Linked DNA regions of Medicago truncatula. The main gene of each other region encodes a partner of the protein of the gene in region 2 in a complex. Links are inferred from orthologs where the notes say so. Each region holds a gene or a part of one and is shown on either strand. Other genes may lie near its edges.

What was found.
Region 1: mediator of RNA polymerase II transcription subunit 28 (region 2) and mediator of RNA polymerase II transcription subunit 32 share a complex: the UniProt entries of both Arabidopsis thaliana proteins name them as parts of the mediator complex. The link is inferred for Medicago truncatula from reciprocal best matches to the Arabidopsis thaliana genes AT3G52860 and MED32.
Region 3: mediator of RNA polymerase II transcription subunit 28 (region 2) and mediator of RNA polymerase II transcription subunit 21 share a complex: the UniProt entries of both Arabidopsis thaliana proteins name them as parts of the mediator complex. The link is inferred for Medicago truncatula from reciprocal best matches to the Arabidopsis thaliana genes AT3G52860 and MED21.
Region 4: mediator of RNA polymerase II transcription subunit 28 (region 2) and mediator of RNA polymerase II transcription subunit 9 share a complex: the UniProt entries of both Arabidopsis thaliana proteins name them as parts of the mediator complex. The link is inferred for Medicago truncatula from reciprocal best matches to the Arabidopsis thaliana genes AT3G52860 and MED9.

Annotation. Positions count from the first base shown.
Region 1 is NC_053044.1:57,777,063-57,784,140, reverse strand, and holds mediator of RNA polymerase II transcription subunit 32, read right to left. Parts: upstream 2,193-7,078; 5' UTR 2,032-2,192; intron 1,811-2,031; 5' UTR 1,783-1,810; coding exon 1,336-1,782; 3' UTR 945-1,335; downstream 1-944. Other genes in the region: BURP domain-containing protein 9, read left to right, coding at 1-403; phosphatidylinositol 4-kinase alpha 1, read left to right, coding at 5,029-6,021, 6,358-6,699, 6,830-6,994. UniProt on the Arabidopsis thaliana protein: Component of the Mediator complex, a coactivator involved in the regulated transcription of nearly all RNA polymerase II-dependent genes.
Region 2 is NC_053049.1:42,679,639-42,687,146, forward strand, and holds the start of mediator of RNA polymerase II transcription subunit 28, read right to left. Parts: upstream 3,049-7,508; 5' UTR 2,780-3,048; intron 2,438-2,779; 5' UTR 1,967-2,437; intron 1,569-1,966; exon of another isoform or gene 1,140-1,568; intron 645-1,139; 5' UTR 631-644; coding exon 441-630; intron 1-440. Other genes in the region: UDP-rhamnose/UDP-galactose transporter 4, read right to left, coding at 3,491-3,841, 3,935-4,096, 4,743-4,943, 5,033-5,217, 5,783-5,933, 6,173-6,214. UniProt on the Arabidopsis thaliana protein: Component of the Mediator complex, a coactivator involved in the regulated transcription of nearly all RNA polymerase II-dependent genes.
Region 3 is NC_053048.1:13,821,062-13,828,519, reverse strand, and holds the start of mediator of RNA polymerase II transcription subunit 21, read right to left. Parts: upstream 3,285-7,458; 5' UTR 3,135-3,284; exon of another isoform or gene 3,108-3,134; intron 2,895-3,107; 5' UTR 2,843-2,894; coding exon 2,636-2,842; intron 1-2,635. UniProt on the Arabidopsis thaliana protein: Component of the Mediator complex, a coactivator involved in the regulated transcription of nearly all RNA polymerase II-dependent genes.
Region 4 is NC_053049.1:5,735,023-5,743,294, forward strand, and holds the start of mediator of RNA polymerase II transcription subunit 9, read right to left. Parts: upstream 3,299-8,272; 5' UTR 3,239-3,298; coding exon 2,909-3,238; intron 2,815-2,908; coding exon 2,752-2,814; intron 2,543-2,751; coding exon 2,462-2,542; intron 523-2,461; coding exon 464-522; intron 385-463; coding exon 327-384; 3' UTR 303-326; intron 1-302. Other genes in the region: uncharacterized protein, read left to right, coding at 6,907-7,107. UniProt on the Arabidopsis thaliana protein: Component of the Mediator complex, a coactivator involved in the regulated transcription of nearly all RNA polymerase II-dependent genes.

The DNA.
Region 1 (7,078 bases), on a different chromosome or scaffold from region 2:
ATTTGTTCACAGCGTTCTCGGTGCCGAGGCCAGATATAACATTCACACAACTAGCTATCCGACAACATCAGGTGTGCGTTTGCAAAACTACACCATTTTGGAAATCTCAAAGGATATCTATGCTCCTAAATGGGTAGCTTGTCACCCTAGACCTTACCCTTATGCTCTTTACTATTGCCACTACCTAGACATAGGCAGTAGGATCTTCAAAGTTCTTCTAAGGGGTCAATATGGAGACATGATGGATGCTTTGGGCATTTGCCACCTAGACACGTCTGACATGAATCCTAATCATTTTATATTTCAACTACTTGGAATGAAGCCTGGGGAAGCTCCACTGTGTCATTTCTTCCCTGTAAAGCACATTGTATGGGCGCCACTCCCACCAGAGGCCACCAACTGAACAAGAGGGAACTAGTTTGTATCTTTGTTAATCGGTGTCTGTGTCGTTCCCAATACTTTTCATGTTGTTGTGAATTTCTCAGTACTGTAAGGTCTTGTTTCTGTGTACTAAATAAGGTATTGTTTGTGTACTAAATAAGGTTTTGTTGGTCTACTAAATAAGGTCTGTGTAATAAATAATAAATAATTGTGTATAAAAATAAACCTTGGTTTGAAGTTTGAACTGTTTAGGAATGAGTTGGCGTCCCTTTAGTCTTTCAAATTTAGGTGGTTGTTCAATCATGAAAATGACATTAAAATAATAATCTCTATATAGACCATGAGATTATTGAAAGACTAAGCTGAAGACATATTCTCATGGGGGTTAAAAATTTTGAATGGCAAATACACACACAGACACACAATTAGATACACACACACACACACTAAAAAGAAGCATACTTATAAATCACACAATCAAGATGATTCTCACAAATCGGAATATGGTGCTTCATATGCCTCAATTGCAAACCTACAAAATCAAAGTTTGAAATTCTACAAACTACAAACCCAATTTACCTAATTTTACCCTCGTCTTACAGGGCACAGAAACACAGGATCACAAGGAAATGGGTAAACCTTACATAATTGTGCATATGGTATTAATAAAAGGGTGGGTCAAACCTAATCTTACACTAATCCATCTTCAGTTACAAAAGGGTGGCACGGTATCTTTGTGGGATATAAAACAATAAAACACCAAAGCATCACTAACTGAAAACTTAGAAGTGTTGCATCATGCACTGTGCACATAAGTTACATCCTTTAACATACAGCTACTAAACAGGTAGAAAAACGGCAAAAGCAGTAAAGTCGGGTGCATTTTGAGCGGTGAAAATATAAAATCCAAGACATTATTAATAATATTAATAATCTCATACAGTTAGGTAAATGCTACTGAGCAGCATCTTCAGAAAACCTGGCATCAAAAGGGGCCGAGGGATGTGAAAGAGCTGAACTAGAAGAACCAGCAGGTCCTCCAGAGCCATGCTGCAATTCAATCACAAGCCACCGAACCGCTTTACTCATCTGTTCCAAGCGAACTGCGCTGATTGGTGGAAGACCCGTCATGGTAGCTTGTCCAGGTTTCCCTGCCACATGCCCTGTAGCCTCATCCACTAAACACTCTGATCCAATCCTTTGCTTCACAGACTCCACATACTCCTCGGCTTGATCACACGCTACTCTAAACAATTCCCACTTTTGCTTAAAGCTTTCGAGAGCAGTGTCTGTTGCAATGTTTTTAAGGGCAGTGGAAGTTTCTCTTGCTTCCAGCACAGTTGCTGCTGCAGCAATAAAATCTAGATAGGCACTATTTAGAGAATCAACCACACTGTCCATTAATCCTGTTTATTTTGATGTTAAACACCTATGAAACACACAAAAGGGCAGATAAATCATGTGAACACTAAAAATTATCATCAAGACCAAATTACGATATCAAAATTAACAATACAGAATCTAGGATATCAATCACGCCGCTAGAGCGCGCAATCGCTAGAGAGTGGAGATCTGCTGCGACGCAACTCTAAGAAATAACGCTGCAAGAGAAGGAAATGAAAATTGGGAGAAGGAAAAAAAAAAACTTACGGTGGATTTTGTCTTCTAACTGGTGATAGACTCCGGCTGCGATCCCGGGCAGATTTTGATTAAAACAGGCAGTTTAAGTTAGTGCGACGGCAGCCAATATGACAATGGGTGGGTCTCTTCAAAAATTGATGTGGATTGGCGATTATAATCTCATCTCAATTTTTTTTTAGAGCAATGATATTATTTGACAACTTTGTTTTTCTCTCTTCTTATTGGTCAAAAATAATGGAGAGAAAAAAAAGAAGAGAGGATAAGACGGTCATGTGAGTATAAGTGAGGAAGTTGTACAAAAGGGGAGTGGTTATGGTGCATAAGGAAATCCTTATGCACCGTGCATAAATCCCAACATAATTGCTTCCTACACCTCCAATGTGAGCCAAACCATTTTTGTTCAAAATAAAAGAAATATGATGGTTGTGATGTGTTTATGCACGGTGCATAAGGAAATAACTTATGCACCATAACTTTTGCCGTACAAAAGTTGTCACAAATTGATCATTTCTCTTTTTTTTACTTACCATTTTTTGAACAGATATTATCGTCTATAGTTGTTTGTGACAAAATGTTTGTTTTTTTAATAGAATAAAACCACATTCATTCATTCAAATCAATAGTACATCGGAATACCATTCTTCGGATTTGAAACATTGACGTTCAAATCTTTGATTGAATAATCAAAACACCGCAATAAGACGACAAATCAAACATGATCGCACAAGACGACGAAATACACATCACCACACTCAGGTGACAAAATCACGAAGAAAAAATTAGATCTACGTGAAAAATCACTCATTTAGATTGAAATGGAGAGAAAAATATTAAGATAAATGATTTTAGAAGGAAAAACCAGGAACAACATGTTGGATAGAGAACTTAAAAAAAAAATTGTAATAAATAGGCATGGGCGGTTCTATGGCCCGGCGACCTCGGGTTCCGGCCCAATTTTTTTCAATTTCTTATCTAAATCCTTATGAATATAAATTGGACAATTTATTTAGATTTTTTGATTATTTGTTTGCCACTAAGTTGTTAATTTTTTTGACAAAATGTCATATCTATAGTAGTATAATTAAATAATACAGTTTTTTTAAATAATTAAATAATATAATAGATGATAATACTTCCCAAAATAAAACTATCATATGCATTCACGGATCTAGTGTGGGGACAATGGGGTCAAGCGACCCCACTTGCCTCCACATGTGTATTGTATTTTTAACCCAAAATTATATATATAGTTTGACCCCTCTTTATATAGTATTATTGTTTTTACATAGTCTATTTATTACATTATAAAAAATTACAAAACTAAGAAGGATCCTAACGAGTGTTACAAGAGCACTAGTTAGTAAATCAAAAGAAGTAGTTTTTTTTTTTTTTATAAAAAGTTGTTATAATTATTATATCGATACAAATAATGTTTATCTTTAAGATAAAATTTTCTTTTACGAAATCTTTAACCAATTATCTCAAAGCATATCGTTGGCAAGACCATACAACTACTATTATAATATAAACTATTCTTATATTTGTTAAAAAAATGTTGTGATTGACGCTACGTTGGTGGTCAAAAATAATTAATTATGGTTATATTTTTTATACTCCGCTAGAACTTGACAAATATTTTTAAAAAATCAACATTTTAGGGCAATTATATATATAACTTGTATAACTTTCACACGCTTACACATTTATAAAGTTTTATATAAATTTTTATGATATAACTTGACCCCACTTATTAAAATTTATGGATTTGTCACTGATCATATCAAACTTTTAAGAAATTACAAATCAAATTTAAATTAGGTTACAATACAATCAAAAAAGTTTGATTCCTATATAGCCAAGTGGGTTAACACTCGAGCTACCTAGGCATAACTTCTCTCAACATGACTTAAAAGATTTTTTTTGTTTTTTTGTTTTTTTTTGTAAATCAGATATCCTCTACTCACAACTTGGGAGGTTAATCCCTCAGTGATCATCAACTCTTTCCAAGAGTTTGAACGTTTTTGCTTGCCCATGCCGGATTCAAATTCATGACATTAGTTAAGCTGCAAGATATTTGTGTCATCTCATTTAAGTGTTCTTAGATTAAGAAATATCGGTGAATTGTTGTTTATGTTTCTTCCAATGTTTCTTGTCCATCGGGTACAACGTGGGTATCACTATTTGCCTTGGTACAATTGTGTTGTGGGCTCCTCCGATTTTTTTATCTTCTCAGTCTCATCCTCATGCTAGTAGTAGCTCTACACAAAATGTTGCATATTTGTTGATACTCGATAACACTTCAAAAAATGTTCTTAACGTTGCTCATAATATGTATTTCGATTCCTTCAAAACATTGTGTATTCTAAGACAATTTATGGAATAACTATCTAAAAAATTATCTTTTTGCTTATAAATGTGACGAGGGAGAGTTTAAATTTAAATTTAAAAAAAAAATACATTCCAAAGGCCCTAGGACGTATTTTGATCTTTAGCTATTTATTTATATTTATTTCGATGAAATCTAGTTGAGAATATAGATAAAAAGTCATTATCATTATTTATTGTAGTGACAAAGAAAAAACGAATGCCTTCAAAACATGAAAAATGAATTCACCAACCAAAAATAATTATGAAATGAACACCATGTATTCCCACGCGTGAGAAACTGAAAACGGATGCCGTATCGCTGAGGCACAAGACACACGCCGTGGCCCACTGACCCCACCCCCAATTCTAGTTCAAATTAGACAAATCCAAAACCCGAATCTAAAATTATCGCAAACCCAAAAGGAAAAAGAAAAAAAAAGAATTAAAAATATAAAAAGAAAAAGTAAAAAAGAAAGAGAAAAAGAGAAAAGAAAGCATTAACCATGGCATGGAAACTGCAACGACGAGAAGAAGAGTAACAATGTTGGTACGTGGTTAGAGAGAGAATCGAACGCCACGATCTCTTCTGAAATCTCAACATTCTCTCATTTTTCGTTTGAATTTTCACCCTAATTCGTGATGGAAGCGTTGATCGAATTATGCGACCTCATTGCACAAAATCCATCGCAATTCTCCGATAAACTCTCGTGGATTTGCGATAAATGTCCACCGCCGGAGTATCTTTCCGCCGGATCGCCTAGGGTTTCACGTTCTCAGCTCAATGCCGTTACCGCCGTCGCTCGTTTCTTATCTAACTGCGTAGATTCCACCGATCTACGACCTAAATCAGTCGCAATCGAGTTCCTCCGTTCAATTCCGCATTCCTTTACTCACTCCTTTTGGCCTCAACCGTTCAACGCCGATTTCGTTGCATCTTTCTTCAACGATTTCATTGGTTATGTTTCCAAAGCTGCACAATCTTCGTCGGATTTCGCGGACGAGGTTGCTGGATTCACCGGTGAAGTTGTGTTATCCGCGATTGCGGAACAGGATTCTGTTATTGCTAGGGCTTTTTTGATGGCTGTGTCGCAGAATTTTCTTCCTATTTCGTCTTCCGATGGAAATAAATTGGTTACTTGTTTGATTGAACAATATGCGGCACAGATTGCTGTGGCTGTTCCTAGCGCGCCCGGGGAGCAAAATGCCGGAAATTCCGATAATTTTTCTGCTCAGAGCTCGCCTCTGAGTGGAAATCATCAATCTCAGACCAATTATAACGGTAGTCTGACTAGTAATTCGAGTGGAGCGGCTTCTAAGGCTGCTGGTGATGATGCCACTGCTAGCACCGCTTCATCGAGAGGTTCGGTTATGGCAAATGGGGGAAGTCATATATGGAGGAGTAATGCCGATCAATTGGCGCAAAATTTAGGTTTAAATGATGGTGGTGGATGCTCTTCTGGGCAACAGGTTACGTCCTTTGAGGAAGAGTCTGTGGACTTTTTGGAGAGACAAGAAATTGCATTTAAATTGATTGCTCATGTGTTGGAAAAGGTTCATGTTGATCCTGCGCTTTTGGAGCAGGCTAGGTTGATTGGGAAGAAGCAGATTCAGTCTATGTCTGCTTTTCTAAAGGTAATCATTTTTTCTTACAATGCCTTCAGTTTGTATTTATTTTCTCTGTTATGATTCGTCATGGTTTATGCACCGTTGAATGTGGATAGTGGAGTGAGGTTAAAATTTAAACTAGTGTTGTCAATTACGCATTGTTAAAATTCCGTGCTATGCGATAGTGCTATATCGCCACTATAGAGGCTATTTGATAACATTTTGTACTAAATAGCTTATTGGGGAACAATAGCAGTTTGTCCAAATACCGCTATGCTATAGCGGTATAGTGCCACTATAGTGGTTAAAGTTTAGGTTTATTTGAGGAGTGAGACATGTTTTAATGTCTGGAAGTTCTTGCAGATAAGGAAGAGGGATTGGCATGAGCAGGGGTCAAGTCTAAAAGCTAGAATTAATACCAAATTGTCAGTTTATAAAGCTGCAGTTTCTATGAAAATCAAGAGCCTCTCGGCATTGGGTTCTGATTCGAGATCCGTCAAGAGATTGGTTTATGAGGCAGTTGCGATACTGATAGATGCAGCCGAGGCGTGCTTGCTATCTGGATGGAGGAAGTTGAGAACATGTGAAGAGCTCTTTGGTTCCTTGCTTCTTGGGGTAGCACAAATTGCCATTGCCCGAGGAGGTCAGCCGTTGCGGATTTTGCTCATTCGCCTAAAACCAATTGTGCTCAACGTTTGTGCTCAGGTGCACTTTGGTTACTTTTCAATATCATATTTCCATAAACATTTTGTTTTCAAACTTGCATTCCAATTGACATATAACTTCATGAAATTTGCTTTGCTTGTTTTTTAAATTCTTTTGAAATGTTACTTAGCAGCCTGAAACATGGAGTAGTAACCAGGGGACCATGTTCGAGAGTGTCACAAAGGCCAGCTGTCAGATTATCGAATCCTGCTGGACTAAGGAGCGAGCCCCTGTAGACACGTACATAATGGGGTTAGCTACAAGCATACGTGAACGGAATGATTATGGGGAACAGGTTTGTGTACTAATTTTTTGTGCATCCATGAGGCAGAAACTGATAATAAATAAAAATATATTTGAGTGTGTCCATATTGTACTG
Region 2 (7,508 bases):
TTAGATTGCATCATATCAATAATTATTGATTAACATATGGTTCACTGGTTCTTTACTAATTTATTTATCTATTTAAAATCATCAATATGAACCTTTTACCACCCTTCTTTTCTCCCCATGGATGATTGGTGCACTCATAACTGCACATTTAACAATGTGTCAACAAGTGAATTCCACAAGGGGGGCACAATGTTGTTGCAAGGATTCTAAACTTTAACATAAAAAGGTCTGTTAACTCATAACAGTTTAACCAATCAACTCAATTATCACATGGTACATCATATTCATCCATTGATCACAAAAAAGGTCTCAAGTACACCCTTTTACATATATAGTCTCGTCTGAAAAATATAAAAAAAAATTAAGCTATCATGTAACTTAATTTGTAATGCAGTGAACCAAAATCAGAAATTTGAAAGATTTGATTTGAAGTTACTCACTTTGATGGGAAGGGTGGGGAGAACGGTCTATTGCTTGAAGTTCTCTGGCTGGCAAACAGGGAAGCAAAGCAGCCTCCAAAGCCATAACACATGAAATCATATCATCTTTTGAGGGAGGAGGAAGAGGAGGAGAAGATGGCAGCTGTTGATCAACGGTATGCTGGTTGTCAGCTACTTGGCGATCACCCATTTGCGAATTTTAGCCTGGTAAGGGAAAGACGAGATCATGAACATGATATAAAATGAAATGAATGCTTGTTAATTGTTAAGGCTTCATTTTTCATGCCAGTAAAGTTTTAAATATTAAGTGGTTTGGCCTTTGCTTTTCCTCTACCTATTAGTATAAATTGTCTATCTACCCTCCTTGCCCATTCTTTTGCAAGTATTCTCCACATATGCCCTAATTTGAAAGCAAAATTGCATTGTTTAGAGTTTGACACTTTGTCTCTCTATGATTAATCAAGCATCTTAGAGAGACATAAAGATACTCTTTTAAAACCAACATTGGCGAAGAGACCAATCAACTAACTAATTGAAGGGTAGCATTTAAAATGTCATGAATGAATTTGGGTGAAATCAAAACAGTAGCAAAGTGCAGATCGAATTAAAGTTGTATGCATTACGATTACGAAAATAGATAGATTGATGATTAGATAAAATTAGTGAATTTGGATTAATTATTTAATGAGATAAACTCACAGATCGATATGCTCCGAGTGAGGTTCAGCAGCAGAGCTCCGGCGACAAATCGGACACGGTAACGATTCGTTGACCAGAAGAAGAAATAGCTACGATTGCTAATCAGAACTGAGAAGAGAGACTGCGAAGAAGAATCGAGGGAATAACAAGAACAAGACAGGGGTAAAATAGGTATTTCTCATGGTTCGCTCATCACTATCCACCTCGACAAACAAACCTCATTACGACCGAAACTAAACTGCTTAGTGGTTTGCTTTTTAAGATATTTTTGTTATATTTACATATAAAAAAAAATTCATTTTTAGTTCTAAGAGATTTTTTTTTAGGGAAGTTCTAAGAGATTATGCATACATATTTTGACGAAAGGAGAAAATTTAGGTATAATTCCTTAGTTGCTTTTCGTATGGTTCTTAACTAAAAATATATATTTTTTGGATATAACAAACTTTGAGAAAATTATGAATTTGAGGAAATCATGGTGAATTTAGTTAAAAAACATACGAAAAGCACTTAAGGAATTGTACCTAAGTTTTCTCCTTGACGAAAAAATAAAGCGTGCATATGAAATGACAAGCATAAAGCATATCCAATTTCTTGCTAAATGTTTCTTATTAAATTTAGTGTTTGTTTGGTATTACGATGGACAGTGGCGGAGCCAGACAAAAAAGTTTGGGGTGGCTGCTATTAAAAAAACTTGAGGAAAAATCGGGAAAAAATACAAAGAGGTGCCGCCTAAATACATAACACCAATTCCCCGAGAAAACCCAAAACCAACAATGGCATCAAACAATGAGGCCGAAGTATATACTAGCATAGAGCAAGCATACCCCTTCCTCACTCCTGAACTAGCCAAGCATCATTGAAAAGCAACCACCAAAGACAGAAAAACAGCTGCAAGCAGCGCTGATCTGCTACACCAGTAGCACCAAAAAACCAGTAAAAAACTGAAAACAGCAGAAAATAAACTGGCAGTAAGGCACAGACAGCTCCGAATACTAAACCATGATCTCTCCTATGGCTCTTGCTCTAGCTAGTTGTCAAACTCAAAGTTCTTTTCTAAGGTTTCATTTTATCATAAATAACTCTTCTTCTCTTCTCCAACATTAAGCTACAACCACATAGCTATCTTCTTGCTCCAATTTATCTAACATTACATAAAAATATTCACAATTTCAAACAACCATCAAATATACGGCATTTTAACTGCATATCTTCTTGAGTCATCATCCATTCCACTCCATTAGCTTTCAATTTGGAGCAGTTTAAGATGTAAAAAGTTTAGTCCTACATCAATAATACTATATTTCACATAAAATTAATCAGTAGATTCCTCCAAGAATTTACCACAAAGACTTAAACAAGTAATTTCATTAGAAAGTGAAACCATCACTAGGCTATGATTAAAACTATGATTAACAAAAAAATCTTTGTAAAGAGAGTAAAGGTTATGCAATTATAAATTTATCAATTAACAAAGGACAGTGAATATGGTTACGACCAAAGGGGCAAAGAACAACAGTCAACAGGTTTAACAATTAGAGTTGAAAATCAACTAAAGAACTCATGGCAATCAACTAAAGAACATGTAATCATCAAATCATAATCATAATTGAAGGAAATTACATTCAATTTCACATTACCTTACAAGTTACAACAATTAGGGTTTGTGGAGAGAGATGGAGATAACTCTCTAAACTGAAGGAGGAGAGTAATCGCGGCGGCAGTGATGGATGGAGAAGGAGAAGAGTGGTCGCGGCTCACCGGCGGTGGTGGATCGATTTGCTTTGGTTGGGAGAAGAAAAGGATCGCGTTTCTCACTTGTTCTCAGATGAAAGAGAAACGGGAAGAGGAAATGAGACTGAATAGGAAATATTAGTACTATTGAAGGATATTTTTGTAATTTCCAATATATAAAAAAATTTATTTATTTTTAGAATGGGTTGCCACCCCCAGTTCCGCCACTGACGATGGATATGTCAGAATCACGGTTATCGACCGCGATTGTGTCAAAACTACTATAACTTTTGAAAAATCAAGATGGACCACCTTGATTCTAGCATACCGACGATAGGTACCCACAATGATAAAAACATAGAATTAACTTTGGGTACAAGAGATGAATAACTTGATTTTCTTCGAGATGGGTAATATAAATGGAAAAAAATAGACTCAGATAGAGCTTTGGGTTATCTCCAACTCCATAACACAAATCATTATGGATTATCTATATAGGAAAACAATTGACCAAATATTTTTACATTATATAAAGATAATGAACCAATTCACCAAATGAATACATGACTTTTCCAATCAATGTACTTGAGTAGAAGAAGTTTCACATCCCTTTATACTTACACTTCCTCATCACTGTGATCAGTTTCAGCAGATACTACCGGTAGTAAATCATAATCTTGTGTTTTGGTGGTAGGAATAGGAATGGACAAGCTACTACGAGACTCTTTTCCTCCTGGCTTTGAAGATGCATTACCATACCAAATCATTCCCATTATAGCAATGATCATGCCTACTATTACTTGTAGATTGAGACCCTCTCTTCCAAATAAGATGAATCCTAATGTAAGGACCAGAATAGTCTTCATATGGCCAAGGACTTGGAATGATACTGCTGTGAACCTTCCAATGCATATGAACTGACTAAGGTTTGTTCCAACCGCGATAGTGCACGAAAGAGCAATGAACAGCTGCAGACAAAAGGAGAAAAACATTGATAAACAGTTTTACATATTTCAGAGATGTATTTGCTATATAAGAAACAAAGAGAGAGTGAAACATACAGTGGATGTTAAACCATAGTTGTAGGCATCAACTCGTTTTCTTGTTAACCAATAGTCAAGAAAGGGGCCAACAACCAGTAAACTTGTTGCCTGAATTGGTGCTATATGGCCCAACAAGTTGAAAGATCCAAGTGAATACTTCTTCTGCAGAAAATGCACATACTGCACAGAGTAAAAGTAAAATATCAGGCCAAATATTGTTGATGGCATCCTAATAAAACAGTATAGTAAGAACTAGAACAAAGCTAACATATGTTACAGGGCTCGATCCAGGCTCTAACGAAGGATCATAAAATAGGTTGAGGGCTCGATCCCTGCTACTAACAAATCCAAATCCTTCTAACAAATTAACCACTAATAATTTGCCTATAAAAAATAGTGATGCATGCATGTGTCCATTGTCTAACAAAGAAAACATGCATTTGAGAATAATACTAATGATTAAAGATATAGCTCCTCTAAAGTGAATTGGCAGTTCAATTTACATGGTAAAGTAAGCAATGTCAACAATTAATGAGAAATTTAAAGAAAAATATTTCCATATATCAATGATTTATTATGTGTGTAGTAACCGTCAACCGCTGATTATCTCACCAACATTGAAATTACATAAGTTGGCTGTTTTTGTCAACTTTAGATTTGTAACAAGGTGAATTAATTCTTACATACATGACAACAAGCACCATGCATCTGACAGTACACATTTACCAACTCTAGAACCGCCTTTATGACAACAAATTCAATTTTGATCTATTGCAATCTTTCAACTCAAATTAAGAATTGATATATAGGTTAGCATATTACTTACATATTGCTGCAGTGCGGTGCTCCAAACTGCCACTGCAGCAGCTATGAAACCCTTAGCATTGACACTCACATCAGTGACTGTACATACAGCAACTCCAAGGAGAACCAAAGAAATGCTAAGCTTTGTGTCCCTTGAATATTTCACATTGTCCAAGACAATTTCCAAGAAACAAGATACTGGAATCATACTCAGCTTAGCAATCTGAAATTTTCATTACAAGGTTAAGAAACAATATAAATATTTGTCTTGATCACACGGATATATAAATTTTAACTGTGATGATGCTTTACCTGATAGAAACCGACAGAGTTCCACATTAAACTCACGTTCATTCCCACAATAGAGAAATTTGCAAACAAGACAAATTTGATAAGATCGGGCAAGGGAAGATGAGTGTCTTGGATATATCCGTTCCACTTAAGAAATGATGTCAGCAAGGTTGTTGTGGCAAAATGCAGACCAGTTAAGGTTGTAGCTGCACAAATAATAGTGTATGAATATATAAATATGCAGTGTCAGAACTCAATTACTACATTAGAAGAAATCGTAAGTCACATACTCTTTGATCAACTAGTTATAGAAGAGAAATGATGTTTAATAAATCATTCAGTGCTATTATCAGTAATAAACTTTGTGATAGCGAGATACATATAGACAATAATGCTTATCAATCACAAGAATAAGTGTGTTTTGTTAGGTGGTGATAACGGTTTAAAGTGAGATGAACGTAAAGTGGTTTACATTTGTATACAATTATGAAAAAATCGGTTGAACAATAAATTCAAGATTAAAAATGAATTGTAGAGGCGAAAACTTCAAATTTTAGCTTCCTGTTAAAATGAGTTCGGAATGCAAAATCAATTTTACTTGAGAACTCCAAACATGTCAAAATCAGTTCTCCTTCTTTGAAATAAATTTTGACTTCTCCAAAAGTTAAACCAAAGATACACTAAAATCATGCAAATAAGTTGTTTTAAATAGTTTATTTAATACATATCAGGGAGGGGGGAATTGAAAAGGGTGATGAATTATGACTATACCAAAAGTGAAACCATATGTAGCCATCAGGGCTTTGTTCACAAGGATTATTCCTACAGATGTGACTACATTGAACAGCCATGATGCAAGATCAAGTGCAATCTTCCTATCCCCCTTGGTTGTAGAATCCATATCGAAACCTAACTTTCTTATCTGCATAGAAGGAGAAAAAACGTCGTCAGAAGCACAACAAATTCCAATGAAATAGTTCAACATACAACTTAAAAAATCATTAAAATTAGTGATCTCTGGGAACAAAACAGCATTAAAACTCTTAAGGAATGCTTTGAAACTCATGCGATCCTACTCAACTTGACGGATTAGTATCCGCAATTGCACAGGGCAATACTCAATTTACATCTAATAAACATAGATAAAAATAAAACAATAACCATGAAATGAAAGTGAGATTGCACAATCCTCTTCAGATTCATTAATCCTCTCACTTTATAGCAATTTTAATTCTTAGGAACATCAATAATTCTCAACACAACAACTTATTCAAGAAGAAACCATAGAACACTTATTTTCATTTCATTTCTATAATTGCATATATGTTATTTCTTACACTGAATAAACAACCTCTTACTCTTTAAGTACCTGATGAGAGAAAATTTGGTAATGTAATGAAGAAACTAATAGAGGTTGCTTGTTGTAGATAAAAAAAAAAAAAAAAAGAGAAAGAGAGAAAAGCAAAGAACACAGCTCAAAATTTGTGTGATTTGGTTTCTAACTTTGATAAGTTACAACTGAATTTTGGGTGCTTTTTGTAACGTTTAGGTTGAGTGTGATGAATTGATGATAATAAAATGAAGTGGGGACAAATGAGTGAGTTTGATTTTCAGGGGTAAACCAAAACTAAAACGAAAAAAAGGAGATGTTGCTTGTTACATAATAAACGGAATGTCATGAAGAAGAATTGTCTATTTTGAGCACTAGTATTATTATGTCAATACTTGTGATGATTAAATTTTACCTTAAATTTAACTATTGTTATTTATTATAGGTACAAAAATGATGGCTGATCAGAATAAATGGGAGGACTGTACTCTTCAGATGTTACACTAATTGTTGTTAGCAAATTAATTTAAAACAAGTAAAATTAAAGAATTAATTTTTATAAAATTTATATATAAAAAAATGGATTCTATACATTCTTTAGGTCAAGAAAAAATGGGTAAAATTTTTATTTAAAATAAATACGAGGGAAAAACGTGCATTTATATATTTATATAATTTTAATATTATTAATAAGGCTAAATTATACTTTTTTATTAACTTATCATGTGGTTTCATTTTGATCTCATAACTATTTTTAGTTTCGTTTTGGTCTCTTAAATGTAATTTTGTTAATCAAACTCGTCCTTATTGTTACATTGTGCACACGTGTCATTTGTGACTCAATGTTGTCTAAAAAAAATTAGACATGGCAACGGGGGCGCGGGGGCGGGTTTAAGCATTATCGCCCTCGCCCCCCATCTCCAAACCATATCGGGGTAAAAATTGAACACCCAGCCCCGCTCCAAAGAGCAAAACAAATCTAATAAACATGTTTCTAAAGAGTAATATATAATATATTAAAATAAGTTGGTGCTTATTTGACAGAAAATGAAAATAAGATTATAAAATTTAATAAGGAGATTTCAAAAAGCAGGTGCAGGCGGAGCAGGTATAAGTATCCCCCACCCCCATACTAAAAACTCAGATTTCCTCGCCCCACACCCAGTT
Region 3 (7,458 bases), on a different chromosome or scaffold from region 2:
AATTCATATTGTAGTGTTTATTTAATATAGGTTCAAGGTGCAAGTCATTGCTATGGATGAAACCGGTTCTACTGCTTTTGTGTTGTTAGAAGTTGTTTCTAAAATTTTTGGGACGAAATGTTCGATATTTTCTTGGTCGAGCTGATGGGGCAATCTTAGTTACTTATTTTAATTTATTCAACTGGTGGTTTTGTAAACAAGTGATTTGTCTGTTTGTATAAAAAACTGATTCTTGATGTGCAGAACGAGAAAAATGATGATTATCCATCAGAATTTCAGTCATTCTTAGATAAGCAATGGTCGTTCAAGGTTGAAGTTGGTGATGGTAATATAATAAATAATTGGCATTGCTTTTCTGTGAAAAGGACTACTGATGACTCTGCTGTCATCCAACAATTCATAGCTATGCATAATAGAAAGGTACATATGCCCAATTCTTTTCATCTGCTATATTTTAGACCTTTAACTTTAGCAGAAATCTAATTTTATTAATTTTATACATTTAATTCCAGCTTTTAAGAAGAGGCTGACTACATGAATGTCAGTAACTAAATTAGCTAATGAAGAACACTTACTGGTAAAGACATTTATAGGACTTAAATCATAGAGTTTGATGTTGATCATGTGGGTTGATTAAACTATTTTAAGTTTTGTTTCTGTTTTGTGATATCAATGGTATATTCATTGATGCTATTTTGATTTGGTTTCGTGCTTGCAGGGTGTTGTCATGCTGTCAACCATGTTTGGACATGACTTTGGGGACCAGATCGGTCGCTACGCCGCGACGTTAGTGAATCCCAACTATAATGAGTTAGAAGTTTTGGTGCAGAGGAATAATGGCGGCATTTTCCTGACAAAGGGATGGCGCGCACTGCATGACTTTTACAATGTTTCACTTGGTGCCTGGGTTACGGTTGTTTTGGTTGGGAATGGAAAGTTTAAGATAAGGATTAAGGATAGGTTTGGTAAATCGATTCGATATCCAACTTTCATCCCAACCATGAAGTTTGTCGTTAATAGGATTGATGAGGATGCCAATTTGTCTCCTATGTTTCCTTTCAAACTGTTGTGGGACGATGTATATGTTATTCATCTTATGTTGATCGTTGTTAGTCATCACCAAAATGCTGTGTTGTGTGCTAGAAGGATGTTTAGTACTTTTATTGTAAATAAAGTGATTGTAACAACATGGCCTAGGAACAAAATATGGTTCTGTTAGGTAACAAAAATAATTTCAATTGGAAAAGATTTTTAATTAGTCGTTGTAGCAAGCTATTATGTGTTTGATTTTATTTATGGTTTACGTATATGGAGAGTATGTTCTGCCATTCCATGACATATGTTTTTATCTGCTGAAAACGCATACACTTTAGACCAATTTATATGTATATTAGTATTTGGACAATTAATTGACGGGTTTATAATCTAACCAGTTTCACAGATACATTGGTGTTATCCTTTATATTACAATTATGTATTAATAGGCAGCTTTTTAATCTAACTATGTTGACACATACATGGTTATAATCCTTTATATTCCAATTATGCATTATATCTCAAATTGCAATCTAAGTTTCGGAGTCACATATGCTCATTTCATACAAAACATAGTGACAGGTAAAAGCTAACATTTACTAAACAAATTAACATACATACATATAACATGAGTTCTTTTAATGGACCTTATGATCTATCGCACCTATATTTTTTAATAAAAAGTGCAGGTAATGTTTTGATGCCGCACGGGTGAAAAGTCTAATTATATTTATTGAAATAATATACTCCACGAGAGGCCCAATTACAATAATCAAATTTCATTCTCCACGACACTCAAGTGCCGTAGTTTTTTTACCTTTTTTAATGTATATGTAATTATGGTTGTGGAACGGCAGTTAACTTCCGCCACAAAAAAGCGAACAGTTAACTGCCGTTGGGGGCATTTGAGTCATTTTCTGGTGTGGGACAGTAATTTTTAAAGTGTAAAGAGCAATGCCCTCATGCCTTCTTCCTCTCCTACTCTTTTTCTTCACTCCTTCTAAACCAGTGATAAAGGGTTATCTGAATATCTTCCCCTACTACTCTGTGTTTAGTCTTCCCTTATCTTCCCTGATCTAAGTTATTCCTCTTTGTCGCGTTTTAAAAACTGATTTTTACTTAAAAATCGATCCATGACAGCAACGTAGCACGTTTACATGGGTGATGCGGTGGGAACAGACAATATCACAGTGGATCAGCGCTGGGATAACTCGGTCAAAGCGGCCGCCTCACCCATCTGAACCACTCGAGCGCGGCTGGGAGCGGCGGCATCAAAATTTCCGCTCCCCACAGCTATATCAGCTGTAGCGGCCGCTATTGACAAACACACGCCAAGCATTGATACTCCATCAAATTTGAGCAGAATTGTTTAAAATGTATGACACTTGTTGTAAATATGATCGTATATTTTGTAATTATTATTACAGATTATATTCAGCCAGTTAATCTTACCCGTTAGGAATAGCATAGTCCATTTAATTAGTTTAGTGATTCAACTCTTATTACATTTAAAATAATATCCAAAAGATTACTCACAATTTCTACAGTCCAACATAACCATATTTAAAGCTTCTACGAAACTTTGTAAAATGCAACATACCTGCTTAGCAGCCTTGACCAAAGAAGCACCCATGAGCTTCGGTTCTTCAGAAAAATTTGCCCCGTCCTCCGTAGGATGTGGAGGTGGTTCGGGGTAATTTGGCGAGAGGCGGTTAGGAGGAGCATCCCTTTGCAATGTTCCGACGGTATTTAAAGCTAAGTTTGCAATCAAATTAACTTGTTCTTGTAGCTGAGAGATTATATCCATTACAAGAACAACTTTGTGGTGGAAATTGACTCAATAAAATTCTAGTTGTCAACTGCAAAATAAGGAACAGAAAGTAGAAATTTGAATTTGAAAACGAACAAATTGATATATAAACAATTTATCAAACACTTGGCATACATTATAAAATCTAAACTATTACGATTGGTTGAGCAATATAGTGAAAACCCAAAAACAAACACAACAGAATCAAATGCAAAACTTAATCACAAAAAGGAGATGAAATCAAAGATGAAGTTTTGATTACAACGAAGCCATTGACTCCCTCACTCACCAGCAGTTGTACTTGTAATCCCACCCACAATGGCGCAATTTTTTCTCTCTTCTTCGAGAGTGTTTCTCTCGTTTTGTTCTTTTCGTTTCTTAATCGCACCAGTATTACCTATTATTAATTGGGTTGATGGGTCAGTCTTAGATCATGGGTTAATGGGTAAGCTAGAAACCCATTTGGAGTTGGTCGACTAGTTTTTTTTTTTTTTTTTGGCATAATTGATCTGCCAATCCTTTAACTTATTTCTTTTATTCAATTTGCTCCAATTTTGATAATTTTAATATCTTAAAAAAAAAAAATTGTTGGATTACGGAGGTCTATCAGATTTTATAGTGTATCAGTAACACCTAATTTATTTACTTTCTTCTTCATCTTCATTCATCCTTCATCAATATTCATCAATAAAATCAGAAGAAAAAAAATATTTAAACCTACTATTTAATTACTACACCACCATCATTGTCAACTTCATCTATCATCATCAACACCCTCTTTCATCCTCATCAACTCAAACCCGAAATTAATCACTCCACCATAACCATCCCTAAATCAAACTTCCAACTTCAAATCTCACACCCAAATCCAACATTATCATCATAATCCACATAATTGCTTCCCTAAGTCACACCGTTTCTGTAACACACCAAAATCAAATCTCATACCCAAAATCAACATTATCATCAAATGGGTTTTTGAATTTTTTTAGAAATCCAACAATTTTTTAGATACTTGAGCTTTATATAAAATTGAATTACAATTAAACCTTCAAAATTCAAAATCACACATAGAGTTGTCAAAACGGGCGGCCCGGCTCGTTTAGGGTCGGCCCTAACGGGCTTCGGGCTTTATCGGGCCGGGCCAAAAAGCCCGGTTGAAAAACGGGCTTGAAATATACTACCCGAGTCCGGCCCTACACGGGCCGCGGGATTAACGGGCCGACCCGTTTTAAAAATTATATATATTTTTTTTTTCAAAAAGTACTATAAAATACTCCTATAATTTTTTTTTATAAATAATATTTTTAATATGTTTAAATAATGCCTAGAACAAAATAAATTGTAAACATTTTCGTACAAACGTCGTAAACTAAAACGGCGAGGAAAACAATTTTAAATAAATTAGATACGTTATGGTTATAGATATTTATATATTCGATCTTTAAAATTATAAATAACGAAACGAGTGAATATAATTTTATATTACATGTATATTTGTGTTAATTCATTGAATTTTCACTTTTATTTATTACTTGATAATCGACTAAGTAAAGAATTATTTGAAAAATATATATAATTTATAGGATTTTTTTTGTTATGCGGGCTAGCGGGCTACCCTCGGCCCGTTCGGGCTAGCCCTAACGGATAGCGGGCTTTTTAGGGCCGGGCTAAAAAGCCCTATTAAAATTCGGACTCAATATTTAAGGCCCAAGCCCTATAATTAATCGGGCTAAACGGGCCAGTCCATACGGCCTGGCCCGTTTTGACAGCTCTAATCACACACATACAGATTCCCAAATCACCGTCGAATCATTTCAAAACCATTTCATTCAAAACAGAAAACAAAAAGATTCTTCAAATCACTACAAAAAAAATAAAAAATAGAAATCCCTTGTTGGGAAACTCCCTCTAACGAACCGACCCTGAACCAACCACAACTTTCTTCTCCCGTGGAATCTCCAGTACCCACGCCAGTAATTTGGGTCGTCGTCTTTGTAAGAACGATTCCTTGATGCATTGGTGTGGCTTTGATTCCGATTCCGGTTATGAGTTCCCTCTCTGATCCTTTGCTTACTTGTAACTTCGTCTTCTCTTGTTTCCGGCACGGTGGCAGTGGCGATGGTGGAGTAGTTGTAGCTGTAACTCCCACCTACACTGCATGGTTCTGAAATGACAGAAATTTCTTCAAAAGCTTACTCCAATGGGTCCACGTGTGGTAGATCAATTTACTGAAAATGATAGAAATTAAACCTTCAAAAATTTCTTGTGCTGAGTTTATTTACTTTTATGGAACAGAACAGATCCATGCTTTTGCATACGGGTCATTATTTCTTATGTCAAATTTGGAACTTGTTGAGGTTTAATTGAGGTTTTGTATGAAGATTGATAAAGATGATATTGAAAAAAAAAATTGGGTTTTTCTATTTTATTTTATGAAGATGATGGAAGAAGAAGAAGAAAGTAAATAAATTAGGTGTTGGTGATACACTATAAAATCTTATAGACCTCCCTAATCCAACGATATCTTTTTTTAGAGGATTAAAATTATCAAAATTGATCAAATTTAATAAAAGAAATAAGTTCAGGGACGTGTTTGAGAAAGTTAAGACTTATAGGACCAAATTGAATAAAAGAAATACGTTAAAGGATCGGCAGTTCAATTAAGCCTTTTATTTTTTTAAATGAAAGGAGGTTATACCATTTCATTGATTAAAATGTGTTCAATATAATTTGGTATTTCTAACAAAATCTAGAAACTAGTTGAGGATATGGCCGCCTTAGCTAATCTAGGGGCTGCCTCATTTGCTTGTCTCCTCACAAACTCAACACTAGAGTTGACATAGTATTGTTCAAAGATAGTTTTACAATTATGAATTATCATCCCAAATTCTGTAAAATCCTGATGTGCAGAGGAAAAACTATCTACAACTTTTTTTAGCATCAAGCTCAAAATCGATAGGTCCCAAGTGTAACTGATGAACCCATTCTAAAGCTGATAACAGTCCAAGAGCTTCGCCAACATGTACCTCCCAGACTCGAGTAAACCATTCAGTTTTTGCCAAAACAAAATTGCCTCATCTCTTATACAAACTTCTATTCCCACTCTATTAGAAAGCTGGGAGAAAGAAGCATCAATATTGCACTTAAATCTTCCTTTAACTGGCTTGATCCATTTCACATTTCCTTCTTGTCGCAACTGTGCACAAGATGTATTACAAATCCTACATGCATCTTGCCAATCATGAAGCATAACATTTTCTCTCTCAACAACATAAACTGGAGCATCAATTACCTCATCCCACACTCTGTTGTTTCTTTGTTTCCACATAGTCCACAACACACAACAAAATAAAGTTGCATCATCCTTAGATAAATCATGTAATACTTTGAAGATAATATTCTTGTTATCCATATCTTGTAGCAAAATAGAAATAGAAGAAAAGAAAGGAAGCATACTCCAAACATTTAAGCTACTTGAAAATTGAAAAAATAAATGAAGTGTATCCTCATTGCTCACCGTACACAATGTACAATTCATAGGGCATGTGACTCCTTTATCTTTTAGACGTACACGGGTTGGTAAGCAATTCCTACAAATTTGCCACATAATTTTTTTTACCTTCGGAGGAATCTTGAACTTCCAAATTATATTCCAAGAGCCTAGTACCTTGAAATGGGATGTCTCAAGTAATTCTTGAACAAAAAAACAGTATGCACTACGAATAGAGTATTCGCCATGATTTTCTTTTTTCCAGATGAGTCGATCTTTAGTCACTGATGGGTAGAGCGATGTGATTTGTAACGCCCTAGTTGTTTATTTAATTAATTTGAATTATGTGGAGTATATATATTTTTATATATGATGTTTGGTGATTTATGCGGAGTATATATATATATATATATATATATATATATATATATATATATATATATTTATATATATGTGATTTTTGAGTGTTTTATGTGGTGTATTATTTTATTATATAGTTTATTTAATAATAATTATAATAAGTATGAAATATTAGTTATTTTGGAGTTTGGAGAGTTATTTAATAATTATTAAAATTAATGGGGAGCTAATGGAAATATTAGGGAGTTAAGTAAGAGGGAAGTTGAGAATTGGATGTCAGAAGCAGTTTATGTGAAACCAGGAACAAGGGAGAAGAACCAAGGGAATCCATTTTTGCTGTGCATTTTTATTCTGAACTAAGGTAAGGGTGAGGTTTACTTCAATAGTGTAGATTTTAAAGTCTGATTTGAGTTTAACAGGTTTTTGGAGTGAAATTGAGGAATTGGGTTTTAATTGAATTTATGGTTTTTGGGGTAGATATTGCTGTTCTGATGTTAGAATTTGGTTTTGGTTGCATAGAAACATTCATTTCTCATCTGTAAACTGATTTGGGGAGTGATTGGGAGGAAAATGGGATTTTTGGGAAAAACCAGTTTTCTGCCCGTACAGAAGTTCATCGCTCGCCTCGCGAGTAGCTGTGCTCGCCATGGCGAGTGAGCAACTTCATAGCTCGCCTCGCGAGCAGACCAACTCGCCATGGCGAGTAGCCCAGATCAAAACGTGATTTTTGAAAAATTGTTATAAGATGTTTTGGGGATGG
Region 4 (8,272 bases), about 37 Mb from region 2:
CTTTTGAGAATTTTTTTTGTCCCTTTTTATAAGACCCCTTTTCTATTTTCAACTACATTAATTATTTCTTTACATACATGCCCCTATTCCATTATACATCTTTTTCTTCAATCAACAATAAATAGAATGTTGAAAACATAAGCCAACCCTCTTTCTTAAAGGATAAAATTGTAAAAACAATAGTAATTACAAACATATTTAATACAAATATCCACTATCTTAATTCCCGTTATTTTTTCAAAAGGGCCTTGTAATTAGGGACGGAGGTAGTAACAAATAAAATCTCATATAAGGTTCATTACCTGTCTGAAAAGAATTACAGGCTCTTATGGCTCAGATCTGACAAGCTCCTCTACAGATTTTGTGTAATTGGCAATCAAATCTCTGAAATAGAAGAAAACAGCATGTATTTAGAATCTATGGACTTAACCAAGCAGAGATATTTAATACAATTTGTACAGACCTTCTTTGATTTAGCAATTGCTCGCTTTCCTCCAGCTTCTTCTTCTGTCCCTCAACGGTCTGGATTAAGCAACCGAAAAGCTATAAGTTAGGCCAAGAACCCCGGCTTCAAACTACTAGCAAAAGACTTAACTTTTTAATGGTTCGAGGACAATCACATTGAGAAAACTGAGAGCAGACGAATCATTCTTCTTATTAATAACATCAGCAATTATTGTTTATCATGCACAGGGCATGTTATTAAACAAAAAGGAAAATGTCAAGAAATCAGAAGTGGAGCTTTTGAGATGAATAATAATACATTGAATTTTGAATACTTTGATTTTCAATAAAAGCTTTCTAAATCTTGATTCTTTAACAAATGTCTTAAGAGTCCTCGACTCCTCGTTATTAGAAGGACCGGAAATAAATATTAAAAACAAAAATCTGACTATCTATGAAGCCAGGGCTAAACAGTATTAACAGAATGTCAATTTAGACACAAAATCACACACATATCTATGAGAGTACGTATTTAGAGTTACACCGAAATACTTCAATTAGTCATTGATTTCTCTCAAGTGGTTTTTCAATTAGTCACTGATTTCTTTTCTTCTCTAACATCACCTTCCTAGTTTGTTTGTTACTTTACACGAAAAAAAACAGCTTAACCTGCAGAAATTTATGAGGGCCATATTTCTTGAGTCTATGTATTGCGTCATTGAAATCATTTGTTTTATTCATTCCTTTTCTAATCATCAAGGTATGTCATATACCATGTGTTTCTGTCCATCGAGATAATGATATGAAAACAAAGACTAGGTATAAAATTTAAAAAAAAGCATGACCAATATTTCACAATCAGATGCTATAATCGCCAGAATACCCAATTATTTGTGGTAAGATCAAAATAGAACTTTCAAATCGAAGTGTTGTCAAATAGCAGCTACAGCGCTATAGCATAATGGAATTCAGTGTTGTCTATGGCAGAAGGCTGTATGTGGCAGAGAACCAAAGTCCCACCATACCGACCGCTTTGTGGCGCCGTCACATCAGATTATGGCATAAAATCCCTCCATATTTGCCAAAATTGGGCATTGCGGAGAGCCACAAAACGGCCACCAATTTCCTCCATGGCTGATATTCGATAACAGTACAGGCGGAATATGAATAAAACGCTATTGTTCGGCAATCAGCTATTTACTACAAAGTGTTGTCAAATAGCTGCTAGTGTGGCGCGATAGCTCGGTAGTATAGGGAAATTCAAACATAAGACTATTTTCCGTATTCCGCAATTGACAACACTGGAATGAACACCGAAAAGCCCAATTTGACTTTTTCACCATCAAGATTTTTTTTTTTTGAAACAGCATAACATTAATAGCCACGCACCAGAGGTGCAAAACGGCGAGGAACTACAAGAGGGGCCGAAATGCTCCTTCCCAACCTGATGCCAACCGAACAGACAGCAGGAGGAAAAGGCACCCCGGGAAAACATAAAAAACCAGAAAAACCAAACTGCAGTTACGCTAAACAGAGAGAAACGCAGCAAAAACCCCCATCCACAACTGATATAACAGACCTGTAGCTGCTGCCAAATCCACCTACCTAACCGCATCAAGATTAAGAAGAGTGTGTAATCCTTTTTATAACCATAATCGATGGCTTGTGGGTATAGGCCTTTGATGATAATCTAAAGGTATCGCTCTCCATTTTTTAAAACCTAAGCCATCTCACATGTGCAGGCTCGAGGAGTATCACGTGAGTAATAATAGTAATCAATCACAGTCATTACTAATAACAAATTTAAGGTCAGGATTTGTAGTATCACTAAATACTTACTCCTAGAGTCAACGAATCACTTCTCTTTATGTACTTCGCTTAATAGCTTATTACTATAAACATTGAATTTTACCAATACAACGGCTGACTATTTTCTTACTACATTGATGATCAAGCACACAAAATAAATATATTAAATCAAATCAAAGCATAACAAAAGGAAGTAAAGAAGAGATACCATAGCTTTGGTGCTAATAGAAGCAGAGATTGAGTTTAACAGCTGCTGACACTTCTCAAAATGATTGCTCAATTCAGTGATCTTCAACCAACAAAATTAACATAATGAGTAATGTATTCAAATTCAAATAAATAACCATGAGACGAATTAATAAAAAGCCTTATGAATCAGACATGACACTACACTCTGACACCCGTAAAAAAAAATATTGATTAAATAAATTAATTCAACTTAATCACATGTGTGGGTGTCGTATCATAAGTGTGAGTGTTACATAGAAAAAGTCATACCAATGCATCTGATTGCTGATCCGGGTTTCCATGTTCAACAACCTCAGCCAAATTCTCCACCAACTATATCCACAACAAGAAATCTTCAATTAATTAAATAAAATGTGAAAATAATTGAAATTAATTAAAATTAGGGTTTTTGAAGGGGTTAACATACATTTAAGAGATGAAAGTGAGAAGCGAGTGATTGATGAAGATTCTGCTGCTGTTGAGGTTGTTGTAGCTGTTGCTGTTGCTGTTGCAGAATACGTTGTTGTTGTTGCTGTTGATAAAGTTGTTGCTGTTGTTGTTGTTGGAATTGAGATTGGGTTGTTTGAGATTGTTGAAAAGGTTGTTGTTGTTGTTGATGAAGAAATTGTTGTTGTTGTTGAAGATAAAGATTTGGGTCTTGATTGGATTGAGATTGAGATTGAGATTGAATTTGGGGATTGGAATTAGGGGTTGGGATCATCGTCCATGTTCCTCCGGGAGAAGAGTAATGTTCCATTGCTCTATCCTTACACCTTCGCTTCAATTCGATCCCTCTTTTAAGTGTTCTCCTCGATCTCTAAATAACAGAGACAGTTGACCCAATTACGCATACGTAATTTTGAGTTTAAATATCTTGAATAATATATTAGAAAAAATTATGAAAATTTGATATTTTGAAAATACTCATCGAGACGAATCTAACGACATCTTATATGATATTATTTATCTTTGTATATTAGTAGAAAAATATGGTTAAAATAAGATAGATCAAAATTACACATTTTCAAACAGGTCATTTATTGCAGGATGGATGGAGTATTTTTTAACCAACAGAAACTAAAATTTATAGTTCTTTACAAAAAAAAAAAAGTTTGCAAGTACTATTTCTATATCATTAATAACATTGTGATTTAATTTTTAGCATCAAATAGAATTGGATTCATAGTCTTGGTTAGATGCATCTCTTACATTATCTACAATAGAAATATTTAGGTCAAAGTCAAACTCAATATGTTCATGATGATTACTACTTGAGTGATGGTTTACCCATCAATTCCAAACAACTTATCTAAAGATGTATCTAGTATTTGCAAATTATTCAACGCTAAAATTAAAGGTACTAATTTGTGAAGCTTGCTCGCAAGAGAGGAACGTGTTCTAGTAGTACTTAAAATATATTAAATTATGAGATTTAACTTTTCTTATTAAAATCTTATTATTTTGTTATTATTTTTTATGGACTCCGATAATTTTGCAATTTTTTTAACACATTCGTTTTTTTGTCAAGACATTCAGTTTTATTTTATTTGTTGAAATTCATATAAAAGACAAAAACTAGTGAAATTTATTTGAATTTTAACAATTAAAAATGATTGTATTATAATAATATTAAATAGAAATGAGTGTCCTATCATTTCTTTTAAATATTTGTTTGAAATTCAGCCGATCATTTTAAATCTTATAAATCATAAATTCATTTAAAATCCTATAAAAATTATAATATCAATCCATTTAAATTCTAATCAAAAGTTCTTACAAATTTCTAAAGTTCTACTTTAAACTACTATAAGTAATTAGAATTTTAGTCTTTCACTTCCTCCGTCTTATTTTAATTATTATTTTTGGGTTGTGCGCGATTCTTTAAAATAATTAGTTAGATTTTTTTAGACAAATAATTAGTTAAATTGATCACAATGATAAAATGAGTATTATTTATTAAAATAGTCTTTTTAATTATTATTATTGTTATTAATAAAATGATTAAATGAGGTGAAATTCAATAAATAAAAATATATTAATAAAAAATAATAATGATATTTTATAGCCACCATTGTTTTGAGATTGAGTAAAAAAAAGTAAAGTAACAATTAAAATGGGGCCAAAAATAACCAACCCTTTATAAATCATAAATTAGGACAAAAACTGTGTTCAAAATCCCTTCATGTTATTACCACCAAACACAGCCGCAGGAAAGAAACAACACAACACCTCCTGATTTCAAGGTCCGAGGTACAAGGAAACATTAAGGTTTAGATTCACTGTGTCTGTTCAATTCAATTCTATTTCAATCCTCAAATAATCATTTTCTAAAGGTTTTTCATCTTTCAGGTTTCATCATATCAACCTCCATTTTCAATTCCAGGTTTCACTATTTTTCAATTTAATCCCCCCCCCCCCCCCCCCCCCCCCTTTTTTTTCTTTTTCTTTTTCTTTTTCCTCTTAAGCTTTAATCAACTGGCTGCGTAGTATATATTCTACATGCCATCAAAATTGTATGTTCAATTGTTTTGTTAGATATTCATTCCTAAAGAATTTGATCAAGATTATAAATTGGGGCAAAATTATGTTTTTTCTAGGGTTTATTTAGCTGGGTTGATTGTGAATTTGTGATATTAGAAGTTAATTAATACTGGAAAATGAAAACAAAGAGGACTTTTTTAAGTTTTAACTTATCAATGCTTCAACTTAATTCATGTTCAATGAGTTTGAGAAAAAGAGGTTTTTGTACAATGCTATTTTTTTTTACACCCTTATAATTTTCATTGAGTTTGGCTTATGCTTCCACATTAGTCCTTTTCTCCCGACCCTGCCACCCATATGATGCAACTATGCAAACCTTGCAGACTAGTATAATGAGAATGAGATATCTTGATTGATGGCCAGCGCTGTCCAATAACGGCTATTTTAGCGTTATAGCGCAGTAGAATTTGAACAAATCGGCATTGTTCCACGATACGCCATTTAGTACAACATTTTGTTAAATAGCGGAGATGATAGCTTTGTTGTGTAGTCATGTAGTGGAATTTGAACAAACCGCTATTATTTGTGATTTCCTCTTGAGTTTGAGCCTCCTAGGATACTTCCGTAAATCATAGCCACAAGAGAGCTCCCTTTCTCCTGAAGTTACTGTGTCATTTTTCCGAGTTCCTTCGACATGGTTCTCTGAAGCGCCTTGATGACACCGGAAGAAATAGGACAAATGGAAAAAAAAAAAAAAATGTTTCTGTAATGATGATGGATGGGAAACATTGGAATTGTTGATTTAGTTTTTTTGTTGTGTTAAAGCTGTTTTGGCTTATGATATGTGATCTTTCAGTAAAAAAAAATAGAGAGATAAAAGCTAGAGTCCACCAATAGACAAAGTTGTTTTGGACGATAGATGTTAGCGAAAACCAATTCTGATGTACTTTCAACACCAACCTTTTGCTTCAATTAAGCTTTTGTTAGGCCTTCCATACTTCAGATCTTCACACAAGCTTAATTGAAGCAAATTTAAAATGTTAAGACCATCAACTTCTGATGGTCTTAACAAATTCTGATGTACTTTCAACACCAACCTTTTGGAGGCTTGGGTGCGTTTGTTGTCATTTTAAATTTCCAGGATTTTTTTGTTAGGCCTTCCATACTTCAGATCTTCACACAAGCTTAATTGAAGCAAATTTAAACTTCTGTAAGGGATTAGTCTTTGAGGGGTTTTTTGTTAGGCATTCCATTCTTCAAATCTTTTAACAAAAGCTTAATCGGAGCAAATTTAAAATGTTGGCAAGAATACATTATATCATAAAGTGAAGTTTGATCACTCTCTATTTTGGACTCCAGGCTTACTATATCATAAAGTGAAGTTTGATCACTCTCTATGTTGGCAAGAATACATTATATCATAATGTTGGCAAAACTAACTTCTTTTATCTTTTCTTTTATCATGCTGTGTATGTCTGGTACAACAAATTGGGTTTGAGCCATGGAGCTTGATAGAGAAGAAAGGTGAAAACCGATAGAGAAGGAGGAAGGAGAAGGAGTAAGGGAGAGAAGCGAATTAGAAGGGGATAAAATATCATGTGTAATTAATTTTATATGGAGCATTAAATCTGAACCGTTTAATTTGAACTAAATGGCTATAAATGAGTCCTCTCATCCTCTCACAATAACATGTCCTCTCATTTGATACATCCCCTATATATATATATATAATGAATTTTCATCCATTTCAGGTTTGTAAATAGTAAATCATAGTCTCTGTGCATTCATTTAGGTTGTTAATGTTGCTCGGTTGATGGAAACCATGATGGTGTTAATGTAGCATGTCATGATCATCCTATGTTTGTGTCGTGATTTGTGAAACTATTTAGTTTGAAAAGTATCAGTTTGATCTACATTTTGCAGGTTACCCCTTTCTTAGTAGCTATGGCAGTAAAACCAACAGTTGCATTAAGAGCCATCCTTGTTGGAGGTATAGCGGCGTTTGCTAAAATAGCAGGTGCAATGAAGGCTGCAGGTGGTGTAAAGATGGGCGCGGCTGCAGCTGCCATGACAGCAGCAGCAACTGCAGCTGTGACTGGTTCAAAACAAGAGCAAAAAGATCCTTCTCAACAGTCCACAAAATAACTATCTTTTCCAAAGTTCAAAGTAGCATAGTTCAGTATCTGCTATTCGGTTAGTTGAACCGAAAGATAAGAGGCCATATGCGAATTATAGTTTTTACAGAAGATACTGTATTAACCTCGTCGAGTCCTTGTAGCAAGATTTCATTAAATTTGTAAAGTTCCTGTAGTTTAAGAAGTTATGAAGATTTGAGACAAAGCTAAACACCAGCTGAGTGGTTTTTTAATCTATTTTTCAAAATTTGAATTCGCCAAGACATGGGTTTGGTGTGAAGTAGTTTTGTATACATTTGGTTCGGCTTCCAGTTTTCAATTTTCACCTTTAAAGGGTCATTTCACCGCAATTTCTCGGAAGCCACAATTAGTAGCTTCACTTTGGATGCATTTTTATCAGTGTTCCACTCTGTTGTTTACTATTAATGGTAAGTTTTAGTAAAGGGGGTTGGAGTAGAATGTAATCTTTTACAAAAAGAATAAATTGTACACAGTATGCACTTGATCTTTGATTTTGTAAGACGAGTGGATTTACCCTATTTAATCTTGTCATTGGGCTGATTGTGATTATATTGCTCATTTCATTTTTAAAAGGAGGATGGTACACATAATTTGACACTTTTTGTAGCATTCTTCATAATTATTTTTCACCTTCCTCGCTACTAAACACTTTATTTTTCACCAAAATCAACTCATGCACAATTACTTTGGAAACACCAACTAACGTAATAAACTACTACTAATCACTTTGTTACATCTTTACATGCAAAAAACTCTAATGAAAAAAGATTTGTCCCTTTATTGATCATCACCTTGGAAATGAAGTAATGGATTGGAGAGAAAACCAAAAAGCTGTATACAATGGTAAAAGAAAGTGATAAGATAAGAAGAGAGGGGCTAGTCAAACAAGCAGAAAAGTTGGCAATGTTTTTGGGCAGAGAAAGCATCTTTTAAGTCTCTTACAATTACAATGACAAGTCAACTAGGATAATGACTCTATAATATCCATCATTAAAAAAAAAATCTAAGAGGTTCATCTCACATTGCTTGTTATTTTATAATTTTAATATACCATTATTTTTTTTTTCCATTAATGAATATATATTTTTTACTATATCTCGATTCACCTAACTAGTAACTACTGTTTATAAGAATAGTTAAATGAAAAAACCCAT